Linked DNA regions of Mus musculus. Each later gene encodes a partner of the first gene's protein in a complex. Links are inferred from orthologs where the notes say so. Each region holds a gene or a part of one and is shown in the gene's direction. Other genes may lie near its edges.

Region 1 (4,077 bases):
TTTATCAAGTTTTCCCTTTTGGAGGGCGGGGGTGTGTGAAGGGTGTTCAAGACAGGGTTTCTCTGTGTAGCCCTGGCTGTCCTGGAACTCACTCTGTAGACCAGGCTGGCCTCGAACTCAGAAATCCACCTGCCTCTGCTTCCCAAATGCTGGGATTAAGGTCATGGGCCACCAATTTCAATTGTAGGTGCTAATCCCAACAACAGTTCACTCAAAATGGGAAGATCCAAAACTGGGAGAATCTCAGATTTCCCAGGGGCGTTGGAAACAGCAAATGAGCAAGTATGCAAGGTAGATGTAGGATTCATACTGAATTAGAAGCCAAAAGCAGTCGAATTGGACATTTCGACTATAGGATAAGAGTCCCCGAACAAATAGAAAAATGTCTCCAAACCTACAGCAAACTTAATTTCACAGTGCTTTTGGTTTTAATGATCTATACTGTTCTTGGAAATGGTCGTATGTTTAACACAATATTGTAGTATATTAGGCATTTGTTTTATTTCGGCACAAACAAAAACCGGGTTTTAACATTAGTGGGCTCTGGATCCTCCAGAAGGTATCAACTAATGAACAAACCCAGGAGCTTGTACAGTGTAAGAAGGCCGGGTTGATTCTGAGGCGCTGCAACACCTAGCTAAAAACAGGACACTGGTTTCGCAGTCTGCAGGTAACTCAAGCACAAACCCTGCTTTCAAGTTTCTGGCTGGGCTCAAGTACCCATCCCTAGGCCACGTGCCCTAGAAAAACACAGGAGCAGTTCTAGGACGTAGAACCTTCCTCCTCGCACCCCACGCCCTTTCCCAGGACTACCTACCTACTAGGGCCAAGCTCAGCCCCGCCAGCCCACAACACAACACTCCCCTCTCCCCCTTCCGGAAATTCCCCCGCCCACTACCCACGTGACCCACCACCTTCGCGCTCCACCAATCAGAAGCCACCTCAGCCTACTGGGGTCTCCGACGCTCCTCTTTTGAAAACGCAGCCTACGTCTCCTGCACCAGGCCCCGCCCCCCAGGGCGCTGACTACGCCCATTCCTTAATCCACCCCTCTCCCCCCTCCCCACCACGTTCAGACCCCACTTCTCCCTGCGCCCTCCCTTCCCGGGCTTCGCCCCACCCCGCCCCCGACCGCGCGCCCGCCCCGATCTCGCGAGATCTGACGTGCCCGCCGCGGCCTCCCGCCTCCCCTCCCGTCCTCCCGCCCCCTCCCCCATCTCTCCACTCTCCGCTCTCCTCCCTCCCTCCTCCCCCCTCCACCCTCTGGGCCGGATCTCGTCTCGCTGAGGCGGAGGAGGAGAAGGAGGAGGAGGACGTTCGGCCTGCGCAGTGAGATGTTTGTCCGTCGCCGCCGCCGCCGCCATCGCGGAGGAGCGCGATAAAGGGAGCCGAGCCCGGCGCGAGGGGAAGCCCGCGGAGCCGCCGCGCCAGCGCAGCCCCCGGCCGAGCCCGAGCCGCCCGAGCCCGAGCCGCCGCCCCCGCCGCCGCGGCCGCCCAGGGGCCGGCCCGCCGCCCAGCCCAGCCCGGGGGCCGCGCCGCCGCCCCCCGCCGAGCCCCGCGGCTGCCCTCCCGCCTTCAATGTGACACCGGCGCCTCCGAGTGCGAGCCGCAGCCGCCGCCGCCGTCAGCGCCGCCGCCGGGGAGGGGCCGAGCACCATGTCGAATCTGAGCAAAGGCACGGGCAGCCGGAAGGACACCAAGATGCGGATCCGGGCCTTTCCGGTGAGTCGGTCCTCGGCGCCCGGGACCGGGAGCCGCGGCCCGGAGCCGCACGCGAGGCCGGGGCTGAACTCCGCCAACAGGCCGCAGCCGGCCTCCCCTCCCCCCACGGCCGCCGCCGGTGGCGGAGCGCGAGGCTTCCCGGCAACGGGGCGGCGCGGGGCCGGGTCGGCCACCTCCGGGGCCGTTCCCCGCGCCCCGGCCGCCCCGGGGCCTCCTTCGCTCGGGCCTCGGGGGCCGCGGCCCTGAGGGGATGCGCGCTGTGGCCGCCGCACCCGTCGCGTGGGGCGTGTGTGTAACTTTTAGCGTGCGGTTTCCAGAAGGAGCCGGCTCGGCTTTTACGGCGGTGGGGAGGACTGTCCACCTCTGCTCGACTCCGTAGTCAGGGGCGGTCTTGCCATCCCACTGCCCCACTCACTGACAGAGATGCTAGAAATGCCCACTGGCAAAACACTAGGAGCATAGTATTTATAGCATCCTTGATCCTGCAAAGCTTCCTAAGCGCTTGACCCACTCCGGTTCAGAATCGCCCCTCCACTTCTTGGAGGGCCAGGCACAGCTTTTCCGTGTCTTAGTCAAGGAGGTCCCCAAGAATAGTTGCCACTCAGACTTGTTTTACCTTGTACGTTTTTAGCGACAGCAAACATTTGCTCTTCAGAAACTTTTCCTCTTGGCGTTACGTTGAGTCATAGGCTTGCGGTGTTTAGTAGATGGAGTAGTATGTAACTTTGGATGTCATGCCTCGATCAGATAGCCAGTGGCAGGCAATTAAAATGTCCTGTTGTAACAAACTGGACGTACTTGCTCGTGTCGCTACAGTGACAGGTAAATGTCAAATAGACAAGCCATCAGTGGAGCAGAATTGTAAAAGTAAAACGGAGGGAGGTTGTTTTTCCCTTCTAAGACTCATAAGCATTCTGTCGTGTGGGAGGGGAAGGGGGCCTTTGTCATCACTTTTTGAACAGGCTTTTCCTGAAGTACCCTTTGCTGTGAGGAATGAAAGACCACGATAGTATTGTCTGAGTTAAGTAACTTTGCCTTGGAGAACTTGAGGGCCTCTGAATTCCTCATCCCAAAGAAGTGTACAAGCGATGCAGAATTGTGACTTTGCAAGGGACATATTGTCAGCATGTAAAAACTTGCACCTTTATGTAAATAAATGGGCTCTATGTTAACATGTAGGGTATAATCAGGAGGACGAGATACTTTAATAATAATTGCATTATGAACGATTTTTTTAAGTAAATAAGAGATTACACCAGAAAGTGAGAAATGCTAGAAACACAGTGCCAATAAAGGTAACTATTATGTTTTCCTTTGTAATTGGACAGTGAGCCAGGTTTATGAACTTGAATAATTTCCCTACCTAATCAACCACCCAAGTGATTGTCAAATCCACATCCTTCCCTCTTTTTTTTTAAGCGAATTCAGACATGGTTGTTTTTTATGTTTTAATTTTTTTTTAATCAACTATGACACTGATTTTTCTAGGAAATATTTACTCTTGGTTCTGTTGTTTCTTTGTTGTTTAGTAAAATGTGAAAGAGCTTATATTTGACCAGTTAATATTTTTCAGAGTAACCGGTTCTACCTTTATCTGTGTTTGCAGCTCTTTGACCTCTAGGTTTCTCTACTTGAACCTGTTTTCCTCTCCCCATATACTGAGTACTGTATGCAGGCACTGTTTATTCCTAGAGCTTTAGGACTTAGCAGTAGATGTGAAAAAGGAAAAGATCAGTGGTTTCTGGAGCTAGCATTAGGGATTAGAAGCAGGAAGAGAATTTTGTACCATTAGCTGAATGAAGATGGTATTAGTGTGTGATAGGCTAGTACTAAAACTGAGATTTTTGTTTTGTTTTTTGTTTGTTTTCCAGTTCATAAGTAAATAACCATAAGTTGTTCCCATTGAAATAATTGGCTATTGTTGAGGCTAAATAATGCTCCAGTGATATTTTATTGAGTTCTGGGAAGTGAGTCCATTAGGCTGTCAGAATTGCTTTCATTCAGATTAGATGTCTTGTATATAAGTACAACCCACTTGGATTCTTAGAAGTTAAAATACATAGTATTTCATACACAAAAAATACCATTTATGTTTATTACATGTGTGTATTCCTACAACTGTTATGTGTTATACTATGTGGATATGTAGTTAGCTATAAGTAATGGCAGTTGCTCATTTCAGGTTTTTTATAAAATGGATGTATAAAAGGAATGAAGTAAGTTTAGACTTGTTTGATTTTTCATTGTACAATAGTGGTAAGTTAACTTACAGAATATATTTCATATATAGATGAGTACTTTATCAAAAAAGTACTTTATTAAAGTTCTACCAAATCAGGTTCTCTTACATTTTTA
Region 2 (3,950 bases), on another chromosome or scaffold:
ACTGTTCCACAGCTGTTCCTCACTTCCTGTACTCATGGTAACAATGCAACAGTGGCAGCTCCTCTCTCAGACTCAGAGCTCTTTAAGGATGGAAACCAGACTTCTGTTTCTCTTTCCCTTCTTGGTACTTGTTTATACCAAGTTCTTAATCAGAGAACTTCAGGGCTGAAGGACCCTGAAAGATTACCTCATTGCCCATACTCTATCCCCTGTCACTTTGTGTAATAGATGTCCTGGAATGAAAAGAAGCTTTCTATTTCCCAGTGTGATTCTGTTGACTGAACATAAAATCACCACAGGGTCATTCAAGTACTTGAGCACCCACACATCACAGAATCAAGGATTAAGTATTTTCTGCACTTGGAAACAGACCTGCTTTGTCGTTCACTGGAACTGTGACTGAATAATTTAATTATCTGGACCGCTTCATGATCTACATCTATATGGACAGTAAAACGTTATGCGTCTCATCAGGCTCTTATGAAGTCCAAGGTGCCTAGTAAATACTAAATTGATGTGAGCTACAATTATTTTGGACTTTGAGTCTCAAAAGTTTTTGTTACCTGCGCTCAAAGACAATTTCATCGGAGGACAAAAAAAAAAATCAAATCCTGATAACGAGCAAAAGGCGATCAAGATCAGAAGGGAACAAATATCTAGGGCACAGGAAGTGCTCGATTCTAACAGCAAAGTGGAGACCATAGCAATCTCCAAGGACAAGCAGAGATTTGCCAGGAGGGAAGGACATTCCAAGGCAAGGACAAACATCTGACAGAAACAACGAAAGGCCCCAGCTAACGTTGGGGGAAAAAGCGCCATCCGCACATACTCACGGCGCTTGTCAGCCGCCGCGCTCTCCCTTCTTACGTGCTGCCACAGCACGGAGGGTCGCCCAGCCCCTGCACAGGGAGAGAAAAGGCACAAAGGCGCGGGTGAGACTCGGGGAGGTCTCCGTGCTGCCCGTGGTCTCAACCTGCTGCTGTTCCTTGCTCACCCCTGCCTACGGAAGCGGCCCCCAAGAGCCCACGACACCAGACCCTGGCTGCAGCCGCCGCCATGTTCCTTAGTGTGCCGACTAAGTAGCCGGAGAACACACGCAGGCCACGGAGCCCCAAGGGCACGGACCGGAAGTGGAAATGTGCAGTGACTCTTCTTCCGGGCGGACGCGGGGCGGGAAGCAGAGGTTCCGGATCTGAGCCCTGGCATGAAAGGAGGTATCGCAGGTAAGAAAGACCCGCAGGTGGGGAAACCGTGAGGTGTACGTAGCCCTATCTCGGTACAGCGGAGGCCGAAGAGAAGAAGACGCAACGAACCGCACCGGTGAGAGAAAGGGAAAGGGTGGGCGTTCTGGGTTCTAAGTTCTACACCGCGCCGGCTCTTGAGCTAAGCTTTTTTAATGGGGGGCGGGGTGGGGGGGGGAGACGATGGACGGTTTCCTTGGAGACCGTTTCCTAGGCGACTCCAGGTGGCACGGTCAGATTGCACAGGGTTATGGACTTCCTTGTGCCCCCGGCCGGGGACGGCTGGGCTCTCAAGGGCTTCTTTAAGAACTCACTGGAGCGAGAGGTAAGTAAGAAACAGCAGCTTAGAAAAGAGTAAAAGTGGAAGTCCAGGCCCAAGCCTCAGTATTGGGGGGTCTGCACTCTTATGTCCAGGCAAAGAGGGAATGTAACAACAATACCTGGATGTCTTAGTTTGGCCTAATTATGCTTCTCCAGAGTCTCATTAGTTGTATATCCAAATTATTTGGTTTTAAGATCATAGGCTTCCTCCTTCGTCTTTTTCATGAGCTAACCTAAGTCCCAAGTCTTTTGTTACATCACGATCAGGAATATCCAATTTTACCTCAAGGAAAAACAACAGAGTTGGAACTTTTAATTGAATTCATTGGAGGAGAGGCCCCACTGCAGGAAAACTGGAGGAATGGCATAGGCCACATTGGCAAGACCAGGAATAAGGCCATTCTGGACCCACTTTGCTCCAGTGTCTCCCTTCTCCCTGTCTTGACTTGGACAGTTGGATTCATGGACTGTGTCTGTGAATTACCCAAATACTTAGGGTGATATTGCTTTGCAGATAGTTGGCAAAGAGAGAAGTTGGCTACCATGGAGTCACCAGAGGAGCCTGGAGCATCCATGGATGAAAACTACTTTGTGAACTATACTTTCAAAGACCGGTCTCACTCAGGCCGAGTGGCTCAGGGCATCATGAAACTGTGTTTAGAGGAGGAGCTCTTTGCTGATGTCACCATTTCAGTGGAAGGCCGAGAGTTTCAGCTGCACCGGCTGGTCCTGTCAGCTCAGAGCTGCTTCTTCCGATCCATGTTCACATCCAACCTGAAGGAGGCTCACAACCGGGTGATTGTGCTGCAGGATGTCAGCGAGTCTGTTTTCCAGCTCCTAGTTGACTATATATACCATGGGACTGTGAAACTTCGAGCTGATGAGCTGCAGGAAATTTACGAGGTGTCAGACATGTATCAGCTGACATCTCTCTTTGAGGAGTGTTCTCGGTTTCTGGCACGCACGGTACAGGTGGGCAACTGCCTGCAGGTGATGTGGCTTGCAGATAGACACAGTGACCCCGAGCTCTACACTGCTGCCAAGCACTGTGCCAAGACCCACCTGGCCCAGCTGCAGAGCACAGAGGAGTTCCTCCACTTGCCCCACCATCTACTCACTGATATCATCTCAGGTAAGCTCACGAAAGGGCTTACCACACCTAACTGGGCAAGAGTCATGTTCAGCAGATGGTCTGGCTCAGGAGAACCCCAACTTTATGTGACTAACTGTTGTTAGTTTATATTATAATTCCCTTTCTGGTAGATTTTAGATTGAGGTTGATGTTCGGTGTTGAGAGTCAGCATAGCTACTGTCAGACAGTACAGTACAGTAACTAAAGAATAAAAAGCTGCATCACTTTTCCACAAAAGGAAATAAGAAGTGCCTGATGTTTTCATCTGCCCTGTATCTTGATGGTATGCAGGACTTAAATGAATTGATGAAGATGAATCAGTATATCTAAAATAGCTAGGGATGGTGGCCCATGCCTTCAATCCCAGCATGTGGGAGACAGAGGCAGAAGCAAGCAGATCTCTTGTGAGTTCTAGGACAGCCAGGTCTACAGAATGAGTTCTAGGACAGCCAGAGATACACAGAAAACCCTGTCTCAAAAAAAAAAAAAAAAAAAAAACCCAAACCAAACCAAAAAAAAAAATCTAAAATAGGAAACATTTGGGTAATAGCCATAGGTAACCAGTGAAGTGGAACTATACTTTAGATGTGTACTCTATAGCCTGAAAGGTGACTACGATGGCATATTGTGCAATCCACTCTGCTTTTAAAAAGCAAGGCAGGGCTAGTAGTATGACTCAGTGATGTAGTGTTTCTATGGTGTATATGAGTTTCTGGGTTTGGTCCCAGCACTGCAAAATGGTAGTGCTGGGGCAATTTCAAGTTAACGTCATATTTATGTGTGCATAAAGATACATATAATGGTGGTCTAATAAAATGGTTCAAGTCCTTTTTTCTTTTTTTGAGACAGTGTCTCTTTATATAGCCCTGACTGCATGTAACTCACTATGTAAACCAGGCTGGCCTTAAACTCAGAGATAAGCCTACCTCCACCTCCGCCTCCCAAATGCTAGGATTAAAGGCATGCTCTACTACAGCCAGCTGTGGTGCAAGTCTTAAGAGCCCCTTTAAGATTGCCATTCATGAGACTGGATAGATTGCTTAGTGGTTAAAACCACTTGTTGCTCTTACAATTAAACTACCAAGGACCATGGTTTAATTCCCACCAGGAACGCCAGTTACAGGGCATCTGATGATGGATACCAAGCATACATGTGGTATACAGATATATGCAGACAAAACACAACACACACAAAATATTTTTTTAAAATCACTAAAAACGCAGTAATATTGCCACTATGTTCTTCCTTTGGCTCT

What was found.
Region 2: Cul3 (region 1) and Kbtbd4 share a complex: the UniProt entries of both Homo sapiens proteins name them as parts of the BCR(KBTBD4) E3 ubiquitin ligase complex. The link is inferred for Mus musculus from reciprocal best matches to the Homo sapiens genes CUL3 and KBTBD4.

Annotation. Positions count from the first base shown.
Region 1 is NC_000067.6:80,337,891-80,341,967, reverse strand, and holds the start of Cul3 (cullin-3), read left to right. Parts: upstream 1-1,277; 5' UTR 1,278-1,656; coding exon 1,657-1,722; intron 1,723-4,077. UniProt on the Homo sapiens protein: Core component of multiple cullin-RING-based BCR (BTB-CUL3-RBX1) E3 ubiquitin-protein ligase complexes which mediate the ubiquitination and subsequent proteasomal degradation of target proteins.
Region 2 is NC_000068.7:90,903,590-90,907,539, forward strand, and holds the start of Kbtbd4 (kelch repeat and BTB domain-containing protein 4), read left to right. Parts: upstream 1-1,150; 5' UTR 1,151-1,204; coding exon of another isoform or gene 1,205-1,223; 5' UTR 1,224-1,320; intron 1,321-1,412; exon of another isoform or gene 1,413-1,566; intron 1,567-2,076; coding exon of another isoform or gene 2,077-2,105; coding exon 2,106-2,694; intron 2,695-3,950. Other genes in the region: Ndufs3 (NADH dehydrogenase [ubiquinone] iron-sulfur protein 3, mitochondrial precursor), read right to left, coding at 834-899, 995-1,058. UniProt on the Homo sapiens protein: Substrate-specific adapter of a BCR (BTB-CUL3-RBX1) E3 ubiquitin ligase complex which targets CoREST corepressor complex components RCOR1, KDM1A/LSD1 and HDAC2 for proteasomal degradation.